Macaca mulatta: one gene and its partners. The protein of the gene in region 1 interacts with the protein of each later gene in a pairwise test. Links are inferred from orthologs where the notes say so. Each region holds a gene or a part of one and is shown in the gene's direction. Other genes may lie near its edges. The genes, in order: CEP70, BRMS1, TRIM29, UTP14A, GPATCH4, SYTL4 and protein BEX2.

What was found.
Region 2: the proteins of CEP70 (region 1) and BRMS1 interact in binary tests that used the Homo sapiens proteins (3 or more experiments, as listed by UniProt). The two-hybrid records come from large-scale screens. The link is inferred for Macaca mulatta from reciprocal best matches to the Homo sapiens genes CEP70 and BRMS1.
Region 3: the proteins of CEP70 (region 1) and TRIM29 interact in binary tests that used the Homo sapiens proteins (3 or more experiments, as listed by UniProt). The two-hybrid records come from large-scale screens. The link is inferred for Macaca mulatta from reciprocal best matches to the Homo sapiens genes CEP70 and TRIM29.
Region 4: the proteins of CEP70 (region 1) and UTP14A interact in a two-hybrid assay, tested with the Homo sapiens proteins (2 studies listed by BioGRID and IntAct). The two-hybrid records come from large-scale screens. The link is inferred for Macaca mulatta from reciprocal best matches to the Homo sapiens genes CEP70 and UTP14A.
Region 5: the proteins of CEP70 (region 1) and GPATCH4 interact in binary tests that used the Homo sapiens proteins (3 or more experiments, as listed by UniProt). The two-hybrid records come from large-scale screens. The link is inferred for Macaca mulatta from reciprocal best matches to the Homo sapiens genes CEP70 and GPATCH4.
Region 6: the proteins of CEP70 (region 1) and SYTL4 interact in binary tests that used the Homo sapiens proteins (3 or more experiments, as listed by UniProt). The two-hybrid records come from large-scale screens. The link is inferred for Macaca mulatta from reciprocal best matches to the Homo sapiens genes CEP70 and SYTL4.
Region 7: the proteins of CEP70 (region 1) and protein BEX2 interact in binary tests that used the Homo sapiens proteins (3 or more experiments, as listed by UniProt). The two-hybrid records come from large-scale screens. The link is inferred for Macaca mulatta from reciprocal best matches to the Homo sapiens genes CEP70 and BEX2.

Annotation. Positions count from the first base shown.
Region 1 is NC_133407.1:41,523,804-41,527,303, reverse strand, and holds part of CEP70 (centrosomal protein of 70 kDa), read left to right. Parts: intron 1-2,062; coding exon 2,063-2,150; intron 2,151-2,237; coding exon 2,238-2,326; intron 2,327-3,500.
Region 2 is NC_133419.1:8,083,120-8,085,798, forward strand, and holds part of BRMS1 (breast cancer metastasis-suppressor 1), read left to right. Parts: coding exon 1-1; intron 2-1,015; coding exon 1,016-1,106; intron 1,107-1,306; coding exon 1,307-1,434; intron 1,435-1,593; coding exon 1,594-1,673; intron 1,674-1,769; coding exon 1,770-1,866; intron 1,867-2,428; coding exon 2,429-2,521; intron 2,522-2,679. UniProt on the Homo sapiens protein: Transcriptional repressor. Down-regulates transcription activation by NF-kappa-B by promoting the deacetylation of RELA at 'Lys-310'. Promotes HDAC1 binding to promoter regions.
Region 3 is NC_133419.1:120,798,998-120,802,497, reverse strand, and holds part of TRIM29 (tripartite motif-containing protein 29), read left to right. Parts: intron 1-481; coding exon 482-574; intron 575-2,784; coding exon 2,785-2,883; intron 2,884-3,500.
Region 4 is NC_133426.1:136,359,835-136,363,903, forward strand, and holds the start of UTP14A (U3 small nucleolar RNA-associated protein 14 homolog A), read left to right. Parts: upstream 1-1,269; 5' UTR 1,270-1,326; coding exon 1,327-1,352; intron 1,353-2,466; coding exon 2,467-2,542; intron 2,543-4,069. UniProt on the Homo sapiens protein: May be required for ribosome biogenesis.
Region 5 is NC_133406.1:110,323,317-110,327,393, forward strand, and holds the start of GPATCH4 (G patch domain-containing protein 4), read left to right. Parts: upstream 1-1,277; 5' UTR 1,278-1,309; coding exon 1,310-1,340; intron 1,341-3,636; exon of another isoform or gene 3,637-3,694; coding exon of another isoform or gene 3,695-3,710; coding exon 3,711-3,773; intron 3,774-4,077.
Region 6 is NC_133426.1:107,583,290-107,587,473, reverse strand, and holds the start of SYTL4 (synaptotagmin-like protein 4), read left to right. Parts: upstream 1-1,384; 5' UTR 1,385-1,501; intron 1,502-1,999; exon of another isoform or gene 2,000-2,093; intron 2,094-4,184. UniProt on the Homo sapiens protein: Modulates exocytosis of dense-core granules and secretion of hormones in the pancreas and the pituitary. Interacts with vesicles containing negatively charged phospholipids in a Ca(2+)-independent manner.
Region 7 is NC_133426.1:109,951,033-109,954,525, reverse strand, and holds protein BEX2, read left to right. Parts: upstream 1-1,331; 5' UTR 1,332-1,738; coding exon 1,739-1,753; intron 1,754-1,902; coding exon 1,903-1,981; intron 1,982-2,358; coding exon 2,359-2,750; 3' UTR 2,751-2,993; downstream 2,994-3,493. UniProt on the Homo sapiens protein: Regulator of mitochondrial apoptosis and G1 cell cycle in breast cancer.

The DNA of each region.
Region 1 (3,500 bases):
TACTCAACTAGGCTGTTGGAGCACAAAATCAGACACAGATAATATGTAAATGAATTGGCACAGGTGTGTTACAATAAAAATAGTTACAAAACCAACAGCCTGCTGAATATAGCCTGCAGACAGCAGTTTGCTGACCCCTGATCTAGATGATGAAGAGAGGGGATTTGGGGTTTTTGGTAAGAGTAGAATAGATTTAACATAACATAGCCATCAGGAAATTTTTCATGTAGAATATGATGTGAGAGGTACTTGTAGAGTTCTGCAAACGGGGTTCTCTGACTAAAGGTGACAAAAGGATTGAGGCCATTGGAGTGGTGGTGTTGAATTTAGTTGTCATGAGTTTGTAATGAAAATCTGGGGTTGAGGAACAAGCGACTTGGAGAAGAATCACTTTTTAGCTTAAAAAGCTTTTCATTAGTTGTCTAGCTGAAGTAAAGTATTTTGGCCTATGCAGATTATCCTTGGGTCAGATATTTGGATTGAATGTCTTATTGAGGGAAGTGGAGGATAGGAAGAAAATATGAGATACATTAATAAATAATATTCTACAAATGAGAAAATTTGCAGCAATAAAAAGAGTCTCCTAAGGAGGGGGTTTTTCAGGATTCATTGACTGAAAGGAGTTTATATTATAAACTCAGTCTCCTTTTTAAGAGTGAGTACTAACTTGAAAGTGAGATTCTGGCAATTTCAGGATAGATTTTGAGATCTACCAATAGGATATAAGTATCATCTAAAGAAGTAGGAGTACTGTAAAAAGAGGATGTAACAATTCATTGACAAGTATTACATTAGTAAAGAAGATGAAAGAGGAGAGAGGGGAAGACAGGCTAAGATTTGGAGGCCTAAGTAGGATAAACAGGAAGCACAAGAGAAGAGCTATAAACCTGTAGAACTGAAGCAGCAAGACCAAAGGAAGAAGACAGGCGGGACATGGGCCTCTTGCAGTGGCAAAAGCTTCTCTGCTTATCCATTTTTTTAAGGCCAGTGTTGTCCAAAGTTTTTTGTTGTTGTTGTTGTTTTTATCATCAGACTATATGCACATGCATAAAATAAACACATTGGGAATAAATAAATCATTTGAACTGAATCAATCCATTGATAACTTACTAGACTGGTGATATGTTTATGTGTAATACTAGAAATCATGCATGTACCCAGTGCACACTAGGCTACAATAGTAATACTTTATGCAACAGTTAAAGCAAAATGTAGTCCTTAAACAATAAAGTTGTACTTAACAGAAAAGTATTTTATACTGCTTCAATTTTTAAATTTAAGATTTAATGAAATTCAAAGTTTATTTCTTTGGTGGCATTACCCATATTTCAAGTGTTAAGCGGTAACCACTAGCTCATGTAGCTGTTGGTTACCATATAGGACATCACAGTGATAGTTAATCAAGATTGCTAAAAATAATCATATGTATTTGCTAGCACTTTGCATTTCACAGAGTCCTTCAGTATCTTTCGTTTGCTTTTTACATCAGTCCTGTAAAGTAGATGTGACAGATACTGTTTTACAGATGAGAAAATAAATTCTGAGAGATTGATTTATTCAAATAATACAACTAGTTAGTGGTGTTATCAAGGCTTGAACCAAGACTATTAAATCTGTTGCTTTTTCCACTTATGATCTGCATTTTTTCATATAGGTTTTTTGGTTACCTAAAAGTACTAGAAGGAAAAAATAGTATGTGAATGCATTTTTTGAAAGAACCTGGATGTTCCACCCATGTTTCGTTTTGTTTATTCGGCAGTGCTTTTTCACCTCTTATAGTCCATAGTTTTTCTAGGCAGTGAGATACAGTGGTGAATAAGACAAAAGTTCTGGTCCTCATGGATCATATATTCTAAATAAAAAGAGAGTAAATGGATATTGTATGTCCTATAATAATAGATAGTAGTAGTGTTCTAATACCATTCTCTATGAGAACAAGTAGGAAATTTGAATTAATTTTAATTCATGTTTAGATGATTAAACCCTCATTATGTTGGTTTAATTAGATTTTTTTCTTTGAAGATAGATTTTTCATAAGTATACTGCATGCATATTTTCATAGGCAATATAAAGAAGATGAAAGTCAGTCAGAAGAAGAAAATGACTACAGAAGTCTGGATGCCTCACCAACTTATAAAGGCCTTTTAATGGTATGGGGACTGCATAACCAATAAATACTTTTTAATAAAGTAAGTAATCTAAGAAAGTTAATTATTTTTCTATGAAATGTGTTGCAGTCATTACAGAATCAACTCAAGGAGTCAAACTCTCAGATTGATGCACTTTTAAGTGAAAAGCTGAACCTCCAAAAAGATTTGGAAACCAGGTGAGAGAAACTTAAGTTTTTTTTGTTTTGTTTTTTTTCTGAGACAGGGTTTCACTCTGTCACCCAGGCCAAGTGCAGTGGTGTGATCATGTCTCACTGCAGCCTTGACCTCTAGTGCTCAAGACTAATCAAGTCCCTTAGCTGGGACTATAGGTGCGAGCCACCACACCCAGCTAATTTTTAAAATTATTTATTTTTAATTGAGACAGAGTCTCACTCTGTCCCCCAAGCTGGAGTGCAGTGGCGCGATCTCGACTCACTGCAACATCTGCCTCCCAGGTTCAAGTGACTCTCCTGCCTCAGCCTCCCGAGTAGCTGGGATTACAGGTGCGCGCCACGACGGCTGGCTATTTTTTGTATTTTTAGTAGAGATGAGGTTTCGCCATGTTGGTCAGGCTGGTCTTGAACTTCTGACCTCAAGTGATCCTTTCTCCTTGGCCTCCCAAAGTGCTGGGATTACAGGCATGAGCCACCACGCTCGGCCTCTAATTTTTTAATTTTTTGTTTGGTAGAGATGGGGTCTCCCTGTGTTGCCTAGGCTGATCTTGAACTCCTAGGCTCAGTGCCGGAATTCCCAAAGTACTGGAATTACAGGCATGAGCCACTGCATCCCGGTCAATTTTTCTTCATCCTTTGAAAAGTAAACATATACTGGAATTTGGAATATTAAATGCACCATTCTATCTCCTTTGCTCTAAAGCTAATCATGAGTACATAATATTCTTATTCTCACTTTAGTCAGTTCTCTCCCACGATAACTTATGAAAGGAACAAGAACACACGGGTAGGCAAGGGAAATGAGAAAATAGGAGTCCACATGGAAGAAGTTAAAACTAGCTAAGAACTTCAAATAAGCTGGGCACAGTGGCTTTCGCCTGTAATCTCAGCACTTTGGGAGGCAGAGGCAGGCGGATTGCTTGAGGCAGGAATTCGAGACCAGAGTGGGCAACATGGCAAAACCCCTTCTCTACAAAAAATATAAAAATTAGCCGGGTGTGGTGGTCTCTGACTGTAGTCCCAGCTACTCAGGAGACTGAGGTGGAAGGATCACTTGACCCCAGGAAGGCTGCAGTGAGCCATGATCATGTCACTGTACTCCAGCCTGGGTGACAGAGCGAGACCCTGTTTAAAAAAAAAAAAAAAAAACTTAAAATAGATTCAGTCTTTTTTTTTT
Region 2 (2,679 bases), on another chromosome or scaffold:
GGTGAGCCCCTACACAAACACACACACACACACAGCCCCCACGCACAAGCATGCACATACATGCACATACAGCCCCTAGACACAAGCATACTCACACACAGCCTCTGCCACAAGCACACACACACAGCTTCTACACACAAGCATGCACATGCACACACAGCCCCTTCACACAAGCACCTACACACAGCCCCTGCACACAAGCACATGCACACGCACACACAGCCCCTACACACAAGCACATGCACATGCACACACAGCCCCTACACACAAGCACGCACGCACACACACAGCTTCTACACACAAGCATGCACACATACAGAGCCTCTACACACAAGCACGCACACACACAGAGCCTCTACACACAAGCACGCACACACACACAGCCCCTTCACACAAGCACGCATGCGCACACACACAGCCTCTACACACGAGCACCCACACACACACACAGCCTCTACACACGAGCACACACGCACACAGCCCCTTCACACGAGCATGCACACACACACACATAGCCCCTACACACGAGCACACATGCACACACACAGCCCCTACACACGAGCACACGTGCACACACACACAGCCCCTACACACAAGCACGCATACACACACACAGCCCCTACACACGAGCACACATGCACACACAGCCCCTACACACGAGCACACATGCACACACAGCCCCTACACACGAGCACACATGCACACACAGCCCCTACACACGAGCACACATGCACACACAGCCCCTACACACGAGCACACATGCACACACAGCCCCTACACACGAGCACGCATGCACACACACAGCCCCTACACACAAGCACGTGCGCACACACAGCCCCTACACACAAGCACACACACACACACACACAGCCCCTACACACAAGCATGCATACAAACACACAGCCCCTTCACACAAGGACGCATGCACACACACACACATGAAGGACGCACATGCACATATGTGGGTACCCACCACCCCTCCCCAGAGCTAGCCCTTACTGGCGTCTTGTCCCAGAGATGGACGATGAGGACTATGAGCGGCGCCGCAGCGAGTGTGTCAGTGAGATGCTGGACCTAGAAAAGCAGTTCTCGGAGCTAAAGGAGAAGTGAGCATGGGGACACCTTGGGCTGGGTCTGCGAGGAGCTGGGATGAGGAGGTGGTGGGCCTGGTACTGGGCAGGCGTGGTTGGTGCCCAGGAAGTGCACGCCTAACACAGGGCTTGCTGTGGAATGGGTGCTGGGTACGTGTTTGCCCAAGAGCAATAGGTGAGCAAATGGGTGCACGGCTGCCTTTTTTACCACCCAGGTTGTTCAGGGAACGACTGAGTCAGCTGCGGTTGCGGCTGGAGGAAGTGGGGGCTGAGAGAGCCCCTGAATACACGGAGCCCCTTGGGGGGCTGCAGCAGAGCCTCAAGATTCGCATTCAGGTGGCAGGTCTGTGGGTGGTTCTGTGCCTTTTTCCCCTCCCAGAACCCATGGCACCCTGTCCCCTTCCTCTCTTGTTCCTCCCTGGCCTCACCCTTTGCTTTCAGCCCTCCTGTGTGGGCACCAGGCTCCCCAGCCAAGCAGGGCCCCTCCTTCCTTTCTCTGCAGGGATCTACAAGGGGTTCTGTCTGGATGTGATCAGGAATAAGTACGAATGTGAGCTGCAGGGAGCCAAACAGCACCTGGAGGTGGGCCTGATTGGGCACACTGGGGACAAGGCGGGGCGCAAGGCCTGAAGTGAGCTCTCCCCATCCGTCCTGCTGAGCTATTGCCCCCTCTTCCAGAGTGAGAAGCTGCTGCTCTATGACACACTGCAGGGGGAGCTGCAGGAGCGGATCCAGAGGCTGGAGGAGGACCGCCAGAGCCTGGACCTCAGCTCTGGTGAGCGCGAGAGCCCGGGCACCCCGGCCCTGGGCTTGGCTCTGTCAACGCCCACCCCTTTCTAGACTTCAGATGTCCTGAAGTCAAGGGGACAGTCAGAGGACCTGCCTCTTGGGGTCAGTGTGAGGACTGAAGGAAACCAGGCCTGGAAAGGGCCTGGCACACAGTAGGGGCTCGGGCAGAGTGGGTCTCCCTGCCCTCTTCTGCCCCTGCTCTTTCCAAAACAGGTATCAGTGTGACATGCAGTCCCATGCAATAGCTCTAGTCCCCTCCACGTTCATAGTACCTGTGTTCATGTGGAGTCCTGGGGTGGCAGGAATTGTCATCATCCCACTGTCCACTAAACAGATGAGGCTCACAGAAGTGCAGCGGCCTCTTCCCGGGGTTGCGCAGCTGTGCGGGCAGGACCTGAACAGCCCTAAGGGGCTTCCTACCCCAAGCCCAGGGTTGTGATGGGGCAGGGGATATGAGGCCAGGCTGGCCCATGGTGGGGGCAGAGGCTACAGAAGAGAGAGTGTCCTGTGGGCCAGCACCCCAGTTCTAACTCTGGGTCTGGGGGCAGAATGGTGGGACGACAAACTGCACGCCAGAGGCAGCTCCAGGTCTTGGGACTCCCTGCCGCCCAGCAAGAGGAAGAAGGCACCTCTGGTTTCTGGTATCCTTTCACCCAAGGTGGCCTAAAAGGTGGCAGGATGTTAGGGTCACCTCCAGACCTGGGGGAGAGGTTTGGAGGGGACATGGAGGACAGTCGCACTAGATGCACTTGTGGTTGCTTGGTGTCATGTGACCATGTCCAGGCAAATCCAGCTGTCA
Region 3 (3,500 bases), on another chromosome or scaffold:
GGAAGGACTGGCAGGGCCAGAACTGGGGGTGTGGTGTTATGAGAGGGTCAGGTGGGGAGGGACTGAGGTAATAGAGGACCAGAACACACATGGGGAGCTCATTGTTTTCAGCTGGGTATCAGTGGGGTTATCAGTCCCCACTGCTTCCTCACAAGGCTGTTGTGAGAGCCCAGGTGTGCGGAAAGGAAAGCACTTGTGAAGTGAGGCTCTGATCTCCCACCGCTTCTGCCCCTGTGGTTGCCATGGCCTCTCCAGGTTTATGCTGATGCTCTCCTCATGGTTACTAACAGAGCCCTTCTACTCTTCAAAAGCATGCCAATTTTGGTGATAAATTAGTTGATTGCCTTATGTCAGACCCGAAGGACCTCTCTCAGTGGTGGAATCCAGGTCCTGTGATGGGCACTTGGGCAACTTTTTGGGGACAAGGTGTCCTGCATGAGACCGTTTTCTGCAATGACAGCCCCCTTCATCTGCTTCACAGGTGGGGCCCGGACATCATACCAGCCTTCATCTCCCGGCCGCTTCACCAAGGAGAACACCCAGAAGAATTTCAACAATCTCTATGGCACCAAAGGTAGGTGGTGGCTCAGCTTGAGGGTGCACAGAGTTCATGGGGACTTGCAGGCAGGAGGGGTATAGAGGTGGGGCCAGGGGGCACGGGGTTCAGACCCCAGTGTGAGATGAATGTGGGAAGCTGGGATGGGTAGGGGGCCCAGACACGGGTGGAGAGGGGTCCTACCTACCGAGCTTAAAGTGTGTGTGTGTGTGTGTGTGTGTGTGTACATGCATGGGGCACACAGTTAGGCTGGAGGAAAAATAGCCAGGAATCTCGGCATCCGTGGAGATCCTTGAGTCCGTGTGCTCTTCTGATTCCTGAGGAAGGATTTGGGGAAAACTGGGGCTGAGCAGCCACCTTGGGCTTAAGTGTGGGGAAGCCCCCCAGCCAGTATGAGGGCACGAGGGCCCACAGAGAATCTACTGATTTGCATACTTCTGCAGTGAAAAGTCGTACAGTGGTTAGTTGTTAGCTTGGCTGTGACTGGAAAGGAAGGCATGGCAGGAAATGGGACTGGCCCTGGAGCTCCAGGAGGTGAGGCGAGTGAGCAGCACCTTAAGACCTAGATGAGATGAAATGGGGGTGGGGACGTGGCTTCCCTAGGGGGAGCTGCTAAGTTCAGGGTCTCCTTCTGCCCAGTGCTCCGAGGGGACCATTTGCTCCGGGGCAGGGCCATCCACTCAATGAGACCTGGTTCTGGGAGCCCTTGGTTCTGTCCTGGGGGCTCCTGGTCACGTGCCAGCCATGCACGGGGAAGGAGGGGACTGGGTCAGCCCCCGCCCCAGACATAGCACTGGAGGACTCTTCTGTGAGGACAAGAGCCATGGAGACTGGAGGGTCAGGGGCACCACAGCAATGCCTGGGCCTCTACATCCAGGATTGGATTCACAGCCGTGACCAGTGGCACCCCCTCCTCCACATATGCAGTAGACCATGGGCACCTTGAGGACAGGGCTGTGTCTGTCCTGTTCGCTGCTACAGGCCCAGAGCTCAAAAGTAGGAGGGGGTCAGGAAGCAGTTGTTGAGAGAGAGACTAAAGGCATGAGTGAACAGAAGGGCAAGGTGTCTGGCCTCGCAGAGCCCTGGCTAGACGTGCTCACTGAGGCCTTGCTACAGAAGCTGCCTGGGATCCCTGTGGGAGGGCTTTGCACAGGGGCAGGTGGCCAGCCCCAGCCATCTCTGACCCCTGAGCCCGAAAGTCAGCCCCCAGCCCTCCCCACAAGCAGCCAAGGGGTGAGCTTGACTAAGGAGGTCACTGATGTTTCAAGCCTGGCAGATGGGGGTGCTGGAGAAGTGTGCATCACCCACGGGGGCTCTGAGCCCCCCACTCCAGTGCCCTCTGAGTGCCCTAGCAGCTCCTCCCACCCCCTTCCCATTGCCTTCTCCTTTGGACTATGGGACATGCCTGCACATAGGCGTGTGCTAGCCTATTCAACTTGGCAACTATCAACTGTCTCATCCCCAAGTTTTAGGATGTGTTTGTATTTATTTGTTCATTGGTTCATGCATTCTGTCCATCAACCATACAATGAACACCTTCCAGGAACCAGGCTCTGTGCCAGGCACCAGGTGTGATGTTGGGGCCAGACAGGCACATTCCTAGTTCATGTGAGCTCACTGCGGGAGACAGACAATTGAACATATAGTTGCCACCCAGAGGGTAGGGGGTGCAGGATGATGTGGGGATGGGGCTGAGGCACATGCAGACATTGGGGAGGTGCCATGTAAGCTGACACTTGAAGACCCCACCCTTGAATCGCCGAGGGTGGGGAGCAGGAGAAGTGTCCTAGGCAGAGGACAGGGGCTGGGTACATAGCCTGGGGCAGGAGAGAAGCTGGAGTGTCTCAGACACTGAGACTTAGCCTGGTTTGAATGTCCAGTGGTGGAGGGAGGATAGAGGCAAAGCCAAGAAGTGGGAGATGGTGGGTGTGTGGCGGGGATTGGGGAGAGCAACTCACGACAGAGCCATGGGCTGCGCTTGGGACGTTGCGCCTTATTCTGAGGACAGTGGCCTTTAGGTAGGGCAGGGACCGGACTACGCTTTATATTTTAGAAAGGTAGCTATGGTGGCAGAAGGATGGGGGTGAGGTATCACTGGGATCACAAGTGGCATCCTGGGTTAAGTTGTGGCCGGCGGCTGGAGAGTCACAGACCTGGCTGTGTCCTGGTCCTGCCTCCTCTCCCCCTCCCAGCTGTGGGGGCCTGACAGCCCTTCTTTGCCCTGCCAGGTAACTACACCTCCCGGGTCTGGGAGTACTCCTCCAGCATTCAGAGCTCTGACAATGACCTGCCCGTCGTCCAAGGCAGCTCCTCCTTCTCCCTGAAAGGTGAGCTTGCCCACCCTGGCCCCTGCTTTCCTCCACAGCTGCCCCACACCTCCCAAACCCTGCTTGGGTCTCTTCCCTGAGCTGCTAGTTCCTCCCTCACCTCGCTGTCCAGTGACCACAGCCTCTCACTGGACAGAGATCTGGCCCAGGACAGACCCTGCTTGTTTCTTGAGGACCTCAGCTTCCAGGTCATGGCCTGTGTCTTCCCAGGCCTCCCTGCAGGCTGATGGCTGACACTGAGAGTGCCTTCACTGTGCTGTGAACCAGAGCTCCTTTCTGGTCTGTCTGGGCTGAGGCGGAGGGAGTCAGGGCGGCCCCGCCTTAGACTAGCATCTTTGTAACCAAGCTCAGAGAGCGCACCTGCTCTGGGCCTCTCGGGCTTGCCGTCCTAACCCTGGGTGGCGGCCACACTGACAAATTCCTGCCTCTCTCTAGGCCCTAGTCTCTGGCTAGTGAAATGGGAGAGGCCACAGAGCCGGGGAGAAAAAACGTGAATTTGGGTTTGGGAGTCCGGCAGCACCTGGTTTGGAATCCTGACTGCTGCTTATAAGCTGTGCAACTCAGGCAAACTGCTGAGCTCATAGATACAGGGGCCAGATGAGAGCCCGGGAGCTGCC
Region 4 (4,069 bases), on another chromosome or scaffold:
GGAAGGAAGGAAGGAAGGAAGGAAGGAAGGAAGGAAGGAAGGAAGGAAGGAAGGAAGGAAGGAAGGAAGGAAGGAAGGAAGGAAGGAAGGGAGGAAGGGAGGGAGGGAGGGAGGGAGGGAACAGACAGTTATTAAATACCAGACAAAGTTCTAGGAACCCAAAGACTGAGAGGTATCCATTTTATTTAGCAACTTTGGGTGTCGCTGATCTTGTCCAGAGCAATTTCTGTGGAATAATGGGGCAAAAGCAAAAATGGGAATGGATTAAAAGAATGAAAAGAATGTTCTTGTCTATTATTTTTCTACAATCATCATATATATATATATACACACACATATATTAGGCAGGGCCCAGTGGCTCACGCCTGTCATCCCAGCACTTTGCGAGGCCGAGGCGGGCGAATCACTTGAGGCCAGGAGTTCCAGACCAGCCTTGCCAACATAGCAAAATGCCATCTCTACTAAAAATGCAAATATTAGCCGAGCATGGTGGCAGGCGCCAGTAATCCTAGCTACTCCGGAGGCTTAGGCAGGAGAATCGCTTGAACCTGGGAGGCAGAGGTTGCAGTGAGCCGAGATCACGCCATTGCACTCCAGCCTGAGCGACACAGCAAGGCTCTGTCTCAAAAATAAATAAATTCTTAAAAGTTGATGGGAGAAAAAAAGTTGTTTAAAATAATTTTTTTAAAGTTGATAGGAGGTGAGGAAGCGTAGCTACTGACGGCCCATTCTTGGATAAAATATTTTGACTCAGGAAATGAAGAACAGAGCTGCAATTACAAGGGATCGAAAGATATTTTTCCTTAAATGGAAGGAAACTTGTTTTGTTCACCATCGGATCTCCGGGGCCCGGCACAATCTGGCCACTTAATGGGCATTCAATAAACCCCCGAGCTGGCTGGTGGCCGGCTTGCAGGACGCTGTCGCACAAGGACGGGCGCTGGAGTCTTTCCTTCTGGATTATGTAGGGACGAATGAAGGCGCGGGCTCAGTCCCTGACAGCGCAGTACCTTCGCCCTAAGCTAACCCACCCTGGGCCGCGTGGAAACCAGGGACCAGGAGGACAGACACCGGCGCACCAGAGAAATACGTGGTGGGTGGAGAAAAGAAAGCCCCACCCGCTGACAGCCGTTTCATCTCCAGCCTCGCCGTTTTACGCAGGCCCCTCCCTACACGGCTCCTGCTTCTCACACGCCTTGTACGCAACGGAACTGACGTGTACGTCGCGAGCGATTGACGGAAACAGAAATTGCTTTGCGGCCGGCACGGAAATTGCTTTCCTTCGGCTTCCGTTCTTGGTCCATGTGAGAAAAGCTGGCTGCTGAAATGACTGCGAACCGGCTTGCAGAGAGGTGAAGGGCAACGAGGGGAGTGGGGATTCTGGGTCTCGTTGGGGGCCGGGTTCCCCAGCTTTTGGGAAATGGGCGCCCCCTTTTAACAGATGGCAGTGGTTCCCCTCAAGAGCTGGCCACTTGTTCCTGTTTTCCGCGATCCAGCCTTTAAAGCCCTTTTAATTTCATTCACTTACTCCGCTCCTCAGCTGTATAGCCGCATCCCTGTTGGTCCTGATGCTGTTTCTGCCTCCCCAGCTCATTTACTATGTTTCACATTCCTCGTCACGTGACCCCTTTTTCTGCCTCTGCCGCGGCCGGATTTAATCCTCTGCGCAGGCAGTGCAGGCGTTATAAACTCCCCGAATCTTCGAAAGCTTTGCTGACTGGAGTCATCGCCACGTTTTGGCTCCTATGATGTTTTGTGCCTCCCCTCCCCGCCCCCGGAACTAAATGTAGTCCGTTTAGGAATGTTGGCTTTGCAAATACTAATAATATATGCTGTTAAGTAACGGTAAATTTTGTAATTTGTGGGTACCAGTCTCCTTAGTTAAGCACCTACTTTGCTAAGCAGGCCCCAGGGAAAATGGCTTACTCAGCTGCTTTCGACCTGTTTCTCCATTCCTGGGAACAAGTGATCAAGATGACACTTTTGATCAGGCTGCCTATCAAAGAGTCAAACATGTGGAGGATGCTTAGAAATATTAATCGTGAAACTGCCTTGCCTCCAGGGCTAGCAACAGCGTCTTTGGCCATATTATTCTAGGGTCTGACATTTTTACAGCTTCCCATAGGTCATAGGAAATGTTGTGCCAATCACTGAAAAGTGTTAGCTCTTTTACATGCAGTTTTGAGTCAGGCATCATTCCTGGAGGTGATGCCTGACATCAGTCTAAATTTCACGTCTTGACAAGTTTTCAAAGGCGTTCATGCTGCTTTATATATCTTCTGAGGGATAGGGCTATTCTGTGTTGAAGTTACAATGTTTACGAGATTGTTTTAATAGATTAGACATTGCTTCAAATAACAATGTTTCTCTATTAAATTTCAACTTTTATTATAATTAAGGGATACATATACAGGTTTGTTACATGGGTATATTGCATTCACATTTCTTTGTTGCCTCTTTTAACAGCCTTCTGGCTTTGAGCCAACAGGAAGAACTAGTAGATTTGCCAAAAGACTACCTCTTGAGTGGGAGTGAAGATGAGGTGGGTGACAATTGCTAAACTGCCTTCAAAATTAGGGTAGAGAGCACATTCCTGGAATGGAAAGGTGTGACAATATTCTATGTATTTGTTCAGGTCTCTCAAATTAATTACAAATGGTTAGTGTTTCATATATAAGTTACTGTATCATATTAAGTGCTATAAGGATTTGGAAACTAAGTTACACTCACTACCCGCAAGTTGCATAAGTATAATTTATAAAACCAACCAAAACAGGCCCGGCTGGTGGCTCACGCCTGTAATCCCAGCACTTTGGGAGGCCAAGGCAGGGAGATAACCTGAGGTCAGGAGTTCAAGACCAGCCTGGCCAACACGGCAAAACCCTGTGTCTACTAAAAATACAAAAATTAGCTGGGTGTGGTGGTGTGTGCCTATAATCCCAGCTACTATTGAACCCAGGAGGTGGAGGTTGCAGTAAGCCAAGATCACGCCACTGCACTCCAGTCTGGGCAATAGAGCAAGACTCCGTCTCAAAAAAAAAAAAAAAAAAAAAAAAAAGACTGAAACACATGGTCCTCATATGATATGATTTCCCAAGTTTGGATTTCTATAGAGCGTTATTTAATTATCTGACTGAAATATGCATATGTATTTTAAGCTGGATCTCCAACAGATGCTATAAGAATTCCAATTCTTTATTTCCCTTACAAAAAAACACTTTTTTTTTCCCTTGGGTTGGGGGCACACAACACATCTATTTTAATAACAAGGAGGGTGTTTTTTTTTGTCTATTTTTTTCTGCTTGTCGTGTTCTTCGTAGGAAAAGCCAACTTAACTTGGAGGCCGGGTGTGGTGACTCACACCTGTAATCCCAGCACTTTGGGAGGCCAAGGCGGGTGGATGACTGGAGGCCAGGAGTTCAAGACCAGTCTGGCCAACATGGTGAAACCCCGTCTTTACTAAAAATACAAAAATTAGTTGGGTGTGGTGGCACTCGCCTGTAATCCTAGCTATTCCAGTGGCTGGGGCAAGAGAATCACTTCCAGGAGGTGGAGGTTGCAGTGAGCTGAGATCACACCACTGCACTCCTTCCTGGGCAACAGAGCGAGACTCTGTCTCAAAGAAAAAAAAGCTAACTTTGTAACTGGCTATGACTTACACTATATGTCAGGGTTTCCATGTTAGATCATACTATATATTTTATACAGAAACACCATTTTAAGCCCTTTTTGTCTAGAAGCAAGTTAGGACAGACACATGACATTAGCTCCCTTTTAGTTTGAGCTGGAATGCTTGCACACCAGACCTCTTCCAATTCCCCAGTTCTCTACTGACCAAAAGAACAAGAGATTTGGCCGGGCGTGGTGGCTCACGCCTGTAATCTCAACACTTTGGGAGGCCAAGGCAGGCAAATCACAAGGTCAGGAGATCGAGACCATCCTGGCTAACACAGTGAAACCCCATCTCTACTAAAAATACAAAAAATTAGCCAGGTGTAGTGGCGGGCGCCTGTGGTCCCAGCTACTCAGGAGGCTGAGGCAAGAGATTGGCATGAACCCGGTGGTGGAG
Region 5 (4,077 bases), on another chromosome or scaffold:
TCTGGGATCCTGCATCTTTTTTTTTTTTTTTTTTTTTTTTTTTTTCTGGCTCACTGCAACCTTCGCCCTCCCCATCCCCCACCGCTGGCTGAAGGGATCCTCCCACCTTAGCCTCTGGGACCCACAGCTGTGCACCATCATGCCTGGCTTTTTTTTTTTTTTTTTTTTGGTATTTTTAGTACAGTCGGTGCCTCGCCATGTTGCCCAGGCTGGTCTTGAACTTCTGGGCTCAAGCTATCTGCCTGTCTTGGCCTCCTAAAGTGCTGGGATTACAGGCATGAGCCACCGCGTCTTACCCATCCTGTATCTTTCTCCAAGTTCCACTGGCCATGTCCTCCATCTGATCCCACCCAAAGTCCCAATTTTCCCAGGCTAGACTAGGTGTTCCCCGAAATCAAGACCTGTGTCTTAAGCACCCTTGTATCCCCCAGTACCAAAGGGACAAGTTCTGGCACACAGTGGTGAGTCAAAAAGTGTTTGATGAGGCCGGTCATGGTGGCTTACGCCTGTAATCCCAACACTTTGGGAAACCGAGGCGTGCGTATCACTTGAGGCCAGAAATTGGAGACCAGCCTGGACAACATGGCAAGGCCCCTTCTCTACAAAACATACAAAAATTATCCAGGCGTGGTTGTGCATGTCTGTGGTCCCAGCTACTCACGAGGCTGAGATGGGAGGATCACTTGAGCCCAGGAGGCGGAGGTTGCAGTGAGCCGAGATCGCACCACTGCACTCAAGTCTGGGCGACAGAATGAGACCCTGTCTCAGAAAAAATAAAAAATTTAAAATATATATATAATAATAATAAATAAAGTGCTTGATGAACATACTGAGATGTCTGGTCTCTAGGCTTTTACAAATAACTGTTCCTGTGAAGGCTGAGTATTCATGAGTATTCAACCCTGCAAAATCAGGACACAGCTATCACCCATTCTGCCTCCACGAATTTCTCAGGCTACTCTCAATGCTTCCCTAGAGTTTTTCTTCCTCGTATTTGTGCCTGGGACTAGCTCAGTGTAGGACACATAGCGTTCTTGGCATCCTGAGAGGGCCAGTTAGTACTGAAGTCCCTTGGCTGCTCAAGGAATGCAGGGATGAGGCAAGTGGAACAGCCTCGGAACCTCCGAAAATGGGCACACTTCAGGTCCCAGTTTCTATGGCAACCATACCGGCAAATTGTCCTCCGCAATGGTTTCTCCTGGGAGGACCGCGATTTTGGTTCCAGCGGACGTCTCTATGGTTTCGACAGCCTAGAAGGAACAAAACGGCATTTCCGGAAAGATGGCGGCGCACAAGTCAGGTTTGGCACATGTTTCCGAGGAGAGGACCCCTCATTGACGGTAAGGGGCTCCCTTCCCCCGAACGGTGGTAGTCGGAGCCCGAGCTTAGTAGCAAACGTGAGAGGAGCGGAGTATTTTTACCCAAGTGGCACTGCGGTAGGAGGGCTGGAATTTAGACCTCAGGAGGAAGGAAGCCTAGGGAAAGGGCAGCCGGCTCTTGAGGACAGCTGTAAGACTAGTGCACCTGGGGCCACTTCTGAAAACGCAGATTGACTGTAGAGGGGAGAGTGCCCAAAGTGTGATCACAGGTTTCAGAAAGACTGGGGCGCACAGCTTCTGTCCAGTTATCCATTGAAAATCCGGTAAAGCCATTCCTAACTATGCCATTCAGTTCAACAAATAACGACTGAATACGTTCTAGAATTCTGGCGCCGCGTTACGTGCTCTGGAGTTGCGGAATAAAGCCGATCTCTTAACTTCCAGGGCATGTAGTTTTCAATTACTGCGACAAGGCTTAGGCTGTGGTCTTACGGGAGAAAGCACAAAGAGCTATAAGAGACTGAAGAGTGTAGAGATGAAGAACATCAGTCCTTGGCCGGGCGCCTTGGCTCACGCCTGTAATCCCAGCACTTTGGGAGGTCGAGGCGAGTGGTCAGGAGTTCGAGACCAGCCTGGCCAGTATGGTGAAACCCCGTCTCTACTAAAAATACAAAAATTAGCCGGGCGTGGTGGCATGATCCTTGTAGTCCCAGCTACTCGGGAGGCTGAGGCAGGAGAATCGCTTGAGGCTGGGAGGCGGAGGTTGCAGTGAGCCAAGATTGTGCCATTGCACTCCAGCCTGGGCAACAAGAGCGAAACTCTGTCTCAAAAAAAAAAAAAAAGACAGAGGACCACTTTGGAGTCAGGCGACTCGGGCTCATTCCATCTCCAACATGTAATTCCAGCTCCATCATTTGCCATGTTACCTTAGGCAAGAAACCCAGGCCTTGTTTTCCTCTTTTGCAAAATAAGAATAATATCTATCTCACAGGACTATCAAGATTAAATGAGTTAAGCCCAGACAGTGGCTCATGCCTGTAATCCCAGCATTTTGGAAAGCAGAGGTGGGCAGATTGCATGAGCCCAAGAATTAGAGACCAGCCTGGGAAACATGGCAAAACCCTGTCTGTACAAAAAAAAAAAAAAAAAAATACAAAAATTAGCCAGGCGTGGTGGCATGTGCCTGTGGTCCCAGCTACTCGGGAGGCTGAGGTGGGAGGATTGCTTGAGCCTGGGAGTTTGAGGCTGCAATGAGCCATGATCATGCCACTGCACTCCACTCCATCCAGCCTGGGTGACAGAGCAACCCTGTCTCAAAAAAAAAAAAAAAAAAAAATCGACTGAGTTAATATGACAGTATATCAATATGTGTAATCCACCTGTTATGCATTAAGTGCTCAATAAGAGTGCCCTTCCTAAGTTGGACACTTTCAAAAGGGAAACTCCAGCCAGACTGAAATACTGCAGTGGTGTGTGAGAAGTGTGTAGCCCCCACACCAAGAGGACAGTGTAAATGCTGAAGCATAAGTACAGGATCTGGTCTCTACCAAGTACCATTATCTTATGACTTAGGTTAATAAGCACCTCATTAGCTTTGTTTTTACAAGGTAATATATTTTGAGAGATACTATGTAGTGGTAGAGTATAGATTCTGCAGACAAGCTGCCTGGGCTTGAATTCTACATGTTAACCTGTGTGACCTTGAAGTTCCTTAACCTCTTTAGGCCTTACTTTACTCATTTGTAAAATAGGCTAATATTTCCCTGAATGGGCTGGGAAGATTAAATGAAATAATCTTTGTAAAGTCTCAGCACATCCTGGCATGTGGTGAGCACACCATAAATTTAGGTATCAGAATTGACACCATTCATCCTTGACTTCTCTATATGCTGGTCTTTCTGTAGCCAGATAGGGAGCTCCCCAAAGACCAGGCCACCTCCTTCCTCTCTCTCGCCCCAGGGCTCAGGAAAGAGAATTCTTTTTTCTTTCATTTTAATTTTTTATTTTTTTCTAGAGATGGTTTCACTATGTTGCCCACTCTGGTCTGGAACTCCTGGGCTCAAGTGATCCTCCTACCTTGGCCTTCCAAAGTTCTGGGATTACAAATGTGAACCACTGCACCTGGCTGCTTTATTCTTTTTATAAGAGGGGGTTCTTGCTATACTGCCCAGGCTGGACTCAAGCAATCCTGCCTCAGCCTCCCATGTAGCTGTGGCTACAGGTGTGTGCCACTGCACCCAACTAGCGGAGAATTCTTAACAAGCAGTCAGGATGGAACTGATGGCTGTTTGGGCACTTTCTCCTTTCTTCTTAAAAGGATGATATCACCTCTTCTTCTCTGGTGAGAGTCTGAGGATAGAGACCTTTTTCTCACCATGAATGTCACCCCAGAGGTCAAGAGTCGTGGGATGAAGTTTGCTGAGGAGCAGTTGTTAAAGCATGGATGGACTCAAGGTGATCCCCATGGGGTCTCTTACATCCCCCAACTCCCTGCCTACCTTCTGCCCAGGGGAAAGGCATCATCCTGGATTACCGCCCTCCTTTATTTAAAGGAGGAAAAGCTAGTTTAAAGGGAAATTTGCAGAAGAAAATTTCTGACTTTCCCAGAAAAGGGAAAAAAGGAAGAAATTTGACAGTGGATAATGAAGAAGTTGTGGTTGGGAGGACTAGGGGAGAGAAGAAGAGACATGGCCTCTCTTCCAAAAGAATTATGAAGGAAGAGATAGTTCAGGCTCACACAAAGGCAGGGGACTATATG
Region 6 (4,184 bases), on another chromosome or scaffold:
GAATTTGAGGTGTCTGCAAGACATTCAAGTGGAGATGTCAAGAAAACAGAACTCAATAAAGCGGTCTGGGTAGAGTTATAGAATTAGAGTTGTGACCATATATACGATAATTAAAGCCAAGTGAGTGAAAAAGATTATTTGGGGGAGGGAGTATATGTATCCTAGCCCTGAGAATGTCTGACTTTCAGAGGTCAGATAGCAGAAGAGTGGCCTACAAAGGTCACTGAGGAGAGGGCAAAGGAGTAGGAGGAAAAGCAAGAGTATAATGTCATAGATGCCATAGAACATTTCAAGGAGGAGGAAATGGTTAACAGTGTTAAATGTAGGGGAGAAGTCAAGCAAAATAAGGACCAAAAATACCTTACTTATTTGTGGATTTATCGACACTGAGGGTCATTGGTTTTTTATCTCATTGAGAAGTTTCAGTGGGGGAAGGAAGCCAGACTGCTGAGAGCTGAGAAATGAATGAGACGTAAGGGAATAAAAATTGCAATTTCACCTGTAAAGTATGTTTTCAATACATTTGCCCATAAAGAGGACCTGAAGAGGGACCTCCTGTGTAGGGAGGATATTGTTTTAAGATGGTAGATACTTGAGCATGTTTAATTGCTGATGTGAAATGAGGGGGAGAGGGATGGGAAAGAGAGGGAGGGGAATCTGCAATTACTGGGGAGGTATAAACATTTTAAAGTCTATTGATATATACTGCTCACATGCTTTCTAAAAGGGTTTTTAACCAACATATGCTCCTATCAGCAATTATGAGAGCTTGTTTGGTGGCTACTTTGTCATCATTAAGTGTTATTTAAAAAATAAAAAACAAAACTCTTTGCCAAATAATCTCATTATTGTTCTAATTTGCTTTTCTTTGATTACTAGTGAGTTGAATATTTTAACCAGTTGTGTTCTTGAGTGTGTATGTGTGAATTTAGTCTACTCCTTTGCCCAAAACGTTTCTATTTTAGACAGACAATTTGCCATAAAAGGCCATAAGTTAAAGGATCAGAATGGTATCATATTTTACTTACCCAAATTAGATAGTTCATATTCTTTTATCTCCTTAGAAGTGTGAGACAATTTGACAACTTTTGACTCAGCAGAATGAAAGGGGCAGGTGATTTCACCATCTAAGGGAACGACCAACAGATGGAAGTAAGGGGGTGGGGAGGCACGTCTAGTGTTAGACCCCTATCCTCGGTCCCTAGGCTCCCACTCCTAACCTGGAAGGACATTCATTCCTCTTGTGTCTCAAGGCTTTGGGTCCCAGAGCTCCCTTTCGGGCTGAGCGGCCCCCTACTAAGGAGCCCGGGGCGCTGTGCGGCCCCTTTAAGAGTCCAGCTCCTCCCAGCTCCAGGGAAAGTTGCAGCTTTTTCCGCCTCCCGGGAGGGTGAGAAGGGCCGGCCGCCGGAGCTGGGTGGCGATCTTCCCGGAGCCAGAGACCCTCCCTCGAAACCGGCACTGGGACGTCTAGCTCTCTGGAGGCACCTGTTGCAGGTGACAGGTAGGTCAGCAGCCAGCGGCCGCCCCCTCGCCCTCGGTTGGGGGCTCCTTCTGGACCCCCAGCTCCTTTTCGCTGCTGAAGCGCCCCCACCCCCATATCGGGGTCGTGCGTCTTCCCTACCTGCTCTCTGCTCCCCTAGTTTTTCCTTCTCCCTAGCTGACCTCGTCTTCCCTCTCCCCGTCCGCCTCTCCCGACCGCACCCCCCAGGCTTGGACTCCCGTCTGCTTGGGCGGTCCCTCCCGGCCACTTTTCTTTCTCTAGGGCTTCTTCTGGCCCCTTCCCTGACCCACCTAGCACTAATGCGGGCTGTGCCCCTCTGGGAGCCGCCTCCCCTCTCCTCTCCGGCTCCCCTCGCGCGGAGTGCCCGGGCTTTTCCCGCCAGCCCGAGCTGGTGCCCCTCCCGAGAGCTGGCCCTGGGGGCGGGGGCGGGGCCGAGCTCCTAGCGGGAACTGCGCCCTCCAAGGCGTGCAGTCACCTTTTCGTGGGTTTCTCTCGCAGCGCTTGGCCGTCGAGCGGGGTCGCTAACCCGCACTCTCTTCGGACCTCCGACATCTCGGCGTCGGCTTCTCTGGCGTTGGCCAGTCAGCCACAGGTAAAGGCTGGAGGCTGGTCGGCCGGAGTCCTGCCTCAGTGGGCTCCCTCTGCGCTTGGGGCTGGGGACCTGGCTACGTGCTGTGGAGCTGTTTATCTTGCCGCTCTTCAAGCAGGCTGTGAGAGACCTGGTACTGGAGGAGGGTCCCCGAGATCTCAGAAGGGGCACAGAATGCTTCTGTCTCCTGTGATGGTTTGTAATGGGGCAGAAAAAGGTGTTCCTCCAACCCTTAACATTGAGATGGGATTTGGGGTGGTGAAATCATTTGGTTAGAATTCTGGTGGCTTGAAAAGTGGTGAGTTTCTAATTAACCAAGCTTTTCTTCCCCCAGTACCCTTCTTCTTCAGGACTAGAGGACGTAAAATTCCAGAGTACTGCTCTTGGCAGGGTTGACCCTAGACCTTGTATATTTGTGGCAAAAAATGAGTCTTCTGTACATCCTGGACCTCCTATATTTAACTGGCTTCTTTTCTGCTCTTTAAGCTCCCCACCCCCACCTCTCATAAATCTATTAATATTGCGGTATTAATGACTTAAGACTTTTGTCGCTGTGGGAACAATGCTCAATGCAGAGATGTGGCCTTGATGAAGTTTTCCGCATTTTTGGTGGTTTGGTTTTTAGCACCCTAGTAGAAAAGCACACCAACTTGGCTTGTGAGGCTCTGTCTGGGCAGGGGATGAACATTTCTGCTAACACGATTTCAGGTGTCTCACTCTTGGTCAGAGCAGTGAAATGGAGCTCGGAGGCCTGTTCTGGGGTAACTGATCTGTGAGTATATGTAGCATTCCGGCTCTCTGAGCTTGTTAGGCTCTGGTTGTTAGGCTCCATTGAGCCAGACACTGTGATAAGTTCTTTACATAAAAATGCAATCCTCCCAGTAACTCTATACAATAGGTGCTACAGTTATAACCATATTATGATGAAAAAGAGACTTAGAGGGTAAGTGCCTTGCCCTCACAATCTCGGAGGCAGAGCTTGTGTTCCTATCCTGTCACACCACCTCTATTGTCTTGGATGTTGGGAGCACTGAATAGCTCATGAATGAGGACTAAGTGATTAAAAAATTTCCTTCCAAGTATATGTTTTGCTCCTTGATTCCCCCTTAGATTCACTGCCGAGACTATGGACTACTTACCTTACTGATGTCTTACCCACTTCATTTCTGACATGGGCCAGTTGCCACATTACCACTATAAGTACACATCCCTGAGTGTACCTAGATGAGTGAAATCTCCCGGGTTCTCAGCTCTGTGGTAATTGTCTTGAAGTTAGAGGAGGGTAACCCTGGATTCCAGGGATGTGCGCCTGACTCAATTTCTTCCTCTCCTGCTGGCTAGGGGAGAAATAAGTGATAGGGATTTCCTGACAGCCATACCAGAGAGCTTGAGGGTGATCGTGTGCTAGTTTTGTCATGGGATGGATGGAGTACCACAGGCAGGGATAGGAAGAAAATGTCCTCCCTATTCCCAGCTCTGGGACCTTGCTCAAACTGTTCCTTTTTTTCTTCCTAAAAAGCTAACTTTCCTCCCCCATGCCCATTCCCCTGACATTAATTCCTATCCATCCCTCAAGATTGAGTTCTAAAGTCACCTTCTTTGGAACGGCCTTACTGAACACATACTTCTTCCCCCAAGCAGAATTGCCAGTTATCCTGTGTCCTAAAGCACTTTGTTTACACCTCAGTACAGCCCTTAACACTGCTTAGTTGTTTTTCCACCTGGAAGGCTGTAAGTTCTCTAAGGGCAAGGTCTGGATCTTGGAGCTCCCTTTGTCTTAAATATAAGATATTGGCAAATATTTGTGCCAGTAACCGGATGTACCATGCCATTCCTTCAAGGTGCTGAGGTGTAGTGATGGTGGGGTTGAGAGTACAGAAGACACCTTCCTGAGGCGCTTGAAATACCACGGCTACAAGTTTGCCCTGATCACCCTATTTAAACGTGTAATCCCTTCTCTGAACGTTCCATATGCCCTTTCCCTACCTTATTACATTTTTCTCGCTTATTGTCTGCCCTGCCACTCCCTCACCCACCATAACATAAACACCCTGTGGGCAGGGATTGCTGTCTGTTGTATTCACCGGTAGACTT
Region 7 (3,493 bases), on another chromosome or scaffold:
GAACTTATATAAATGCAATCATGCAGAAAACAATTGTGGCTGGTGTCTTTATAGATACAATTTTTTTTTCATTTTTTTAAGATTCATCTATGTTACTGTTTGTATCAGTAGCTTGTCACTTTTTTATTGCTTAGCAGCTTTAAAATGTATGAATACATCACAATTTGTTTATCAGTTCACTTGTTGGACATTTAGATTTTTATCAACTTTGGGGCTATCATAAAGGAAATTTCTATGAACTTTCCTATGCCAATATTTTTGAGAAAATATGTTTTAAAATCTGTTGGGAAAATTCCAAAAAGTGGAATTTCTAGGACATATGGTAAGCCTAAGTTTAACTTTTTAAGAAACTGCCACCAAGTCTTGGAGTGGTTGAACCCCTCACCAACAATCAATGAGAGTTTCTATTGTTACTATTTTCAAAAGTGCTTGGGACTGTCAGACATTTTAAGTTCAGCAATTATAATGGGTGTGCAGTGGTTTTTCATTCTGGCTTTATTTTACATTTCCCTGATAGTTAATGAGGTTGAGCATCTTTTCATGAGCTCGTTGGTAATTTGTGTATGTAGTTTTGTGAAATGTTTATTCAAATCTATTATTTGCCTTCTTGAGTTTTCGAAGTTCTTTATATATGCTCTGAATTCAAACCCACTGTCAGATACACATATTGTGAATATTTACTCCCAGCTTCTCACTTCATTTTCTTAACCATGTGGTTTAAATGGTAGTTTTTAATTTTGATAAATCCAATTTCTCATTTTTTTTTTTGTGATCTGTTCTTTTTCTGTCCTAAGGGATTGTTTTCTCAAAGATTATAAAGTTTTTCTCTATGTTTTATTCTAGAAGTTTTCTAATTTGAGTTTTTACATTTAGGTTTATGACCATTTTGAATTAATTTGTGTATAGTATAGATAAAAGGCAAGGCTCCTGTTTTTCCTTTAAGAATTCTGTTATTTCAGCACCATTTGTTTAAAAGACTATACTTTCCATATCGAATTACTTTGACATCTTTGTCAAAAATTAATTAACAGGCAGAAGGAGGTGAATCCTGGCAGCCAAGGGCAGAGAGAGGCAAGTCCCCAGAGAAGTGGGAATGGCCAACAGCTCCCTGAGAAGATGCCTTCCGTCCTTCCTGGGCAGGCAAGGGAAGTCTCAAGAATACACAAGAGAAGGGAGAGTGGCAGAGCCCAGGCTGGGGATGTTAAAAGGGACTCACGGTGAGGATGGGGGCGGGCCCGAAAGTCCCACCTGACTCCAGGCTGCAGGAGGGAGCGTGGGACGGGGGCGGAGCCGCTGGCGATGACAACAGCCCCACGTGATCGGCCAACACTGAGTCTTGCCTCTCTCTGGCGTCGGAGCCGCCGTCGCTCGCTCCTTTCTCGGCTGTGGTACCTGTTCCCGGTGGCCCTGAGGACGTGCGGGCCAGGTGCGGCCCCGAAAGCAGGAAGCGGAGGGGGAGCAGGTAAGGGAAACGGAGGGGGTCCCTGGGGTTGGTGTGGGGGAGCGGCCCCGGCCTGCGGATGCCCCACCCCCGAGGAGCCGCGCTGAGACGCAGCCGGTGCACGATGCAGCCCCGGGGCCCCGCCGCGGGACCGCGAGCCTTTAGTGAGCGGAGGAGTGCCTGGCCCCGCGGGAGCCGGCGGTCCTGAGGCTGCGGTCCTGAGGCTACGGCCCTTCTGAAGCACCTGCCTCCGCCACCAGCGCAATCTTTTCTGAGATCCCTGCTCCGCCCTTCTTGATGCAGAAAATGGTGGTCAGCTTGGGGGGCGGGGCGGCTGAGGCGCGGGGAGAGGGCGGCGAGGAGGGCCCGGGCCCGGCGCGGGGAAGGGGCCGGGTGGCGGCGGGTCCTCGCTAGTGTTCCGCTGCAGCAGCCTCCACTCTTCCCACCCCGGCCGTCTGCAGGTCTGCGAGGCTAAGTGTCGAGGCGACGCACCTCACGTCGAGAATCGGGAGGAGGAGGAGACTGCAAGGATAGGCCCAGGTCGGTGCGAGGGACGGTGGCGGGGCGGGGGTCAGAACATGACGAAAGCCCAGTCTGGGACCCCAGTCGGTGCCTTCACTGCTACGCTTCGCAATCCCCCACCCCCACCCCTTCTTCGTCCTCCATTTTGGCGCCTGCAGAGGCCTGGAGATGGATCTGCAGAGAAGATGGTGGGCTTTGCGGGAGAGAGGGGCGCGGACTGCCCCCCCCCAACCCCGAGGGTACACGGGGCCTCTCTGGTGGGAAAAAAAAAATGAAATTTAAAAAAGGCCTTTGAAATCCAGGGCTCTGAATTTTGAAAGGTGGGTAGTCGGGCCTCTGTCCTCGGTGCTGATCAGTTCACCAAGAATTGAGTCCGTTTTCTCTCTGTCTCATAGGAGTAATGGAGTCCAAAGAGGAACGAGCGTTAAACAATCTCAACGTGGAAAATGTCAACCAGGAAAATGATGAAAAAGATGAAAAGGAGCAAGTTGCTAATAAAGGGGAGCCCTTGGCCCTCCCTTTGAATGTTGATGAATACTGTGTGCCTAGAGGAAATCGTAGGCGGTTCCGTGTTAGGCAGCCCACCCTGCAGTATAGATGGGACATAATGCATAGGCTTGGAGAGCCACAGGCAAGGATGAGAGAGGAGAATATGGAAAGGATTGGGGAGGAGGTGAGACAGCTGATGGAAAAGCTGAGGGAAAAACAGTTGAGTCATAGTCTGCGGGCAGTCAGCACTGACCCCCCTCACCATGACCATCACGATGAGTTTTGCCTTATGCCCTGAATCCTGATGGTTTCCCTGAAGTTAATAGGGAGACCCCAGCTTCCTAAACTTACACATTTGTGGTGTACCTTTGTCGTAAACCTTTTGATGTTACCTATTTCTTGTGGGTCTCCTATTACCAGCTTCAAACTGAATGTTGTTTTGACCCAGTTTGTAAGTTTCTGTCAGCAGGGGAGTTTTACCTACTGCATGGAAAGATGCTCATTATATATTGTGAAGTTAATAAAATAGTTTAAAAAACCATTCTCTGCATTCTTTTTTACTTTAAATCTTAAATATGAACATAAACAGTCATATATGTACACATATATACACATATATAGAAAATCGTGTTTATCTTTGTGGTAGAATTAAGAGGGAGTTTATTCTTGCTTATCCATAATTTCTTATTTTTTAAAATGGAACACGTATTACTTATAAAAAGCAATGTGACCACCTTATAAAAGCAATGTGAGCACTTAATAAACACTTGTGACAGAATCTCAATTTTAACTTGCTTCTGGGATCTCTTTTTAGAAATGTTTGAGAGACACATCTCTTTGAAGATCATAATATTTATCAGTAAGATGAAGACAATCACCTCCCAGGCTTATTGTATGGACCAGAAAAGGTAATGAGGTTGTAAGCTTTCTCCCAAGTTCTTGTTCTTACTGACATGCATGACCCAACCCTTTAGATATTCCCTTCTGTTATTAGAGGAAATCTCCAAGGTGAGGTCTTCCCTATATTCACAAGTCCAGTGG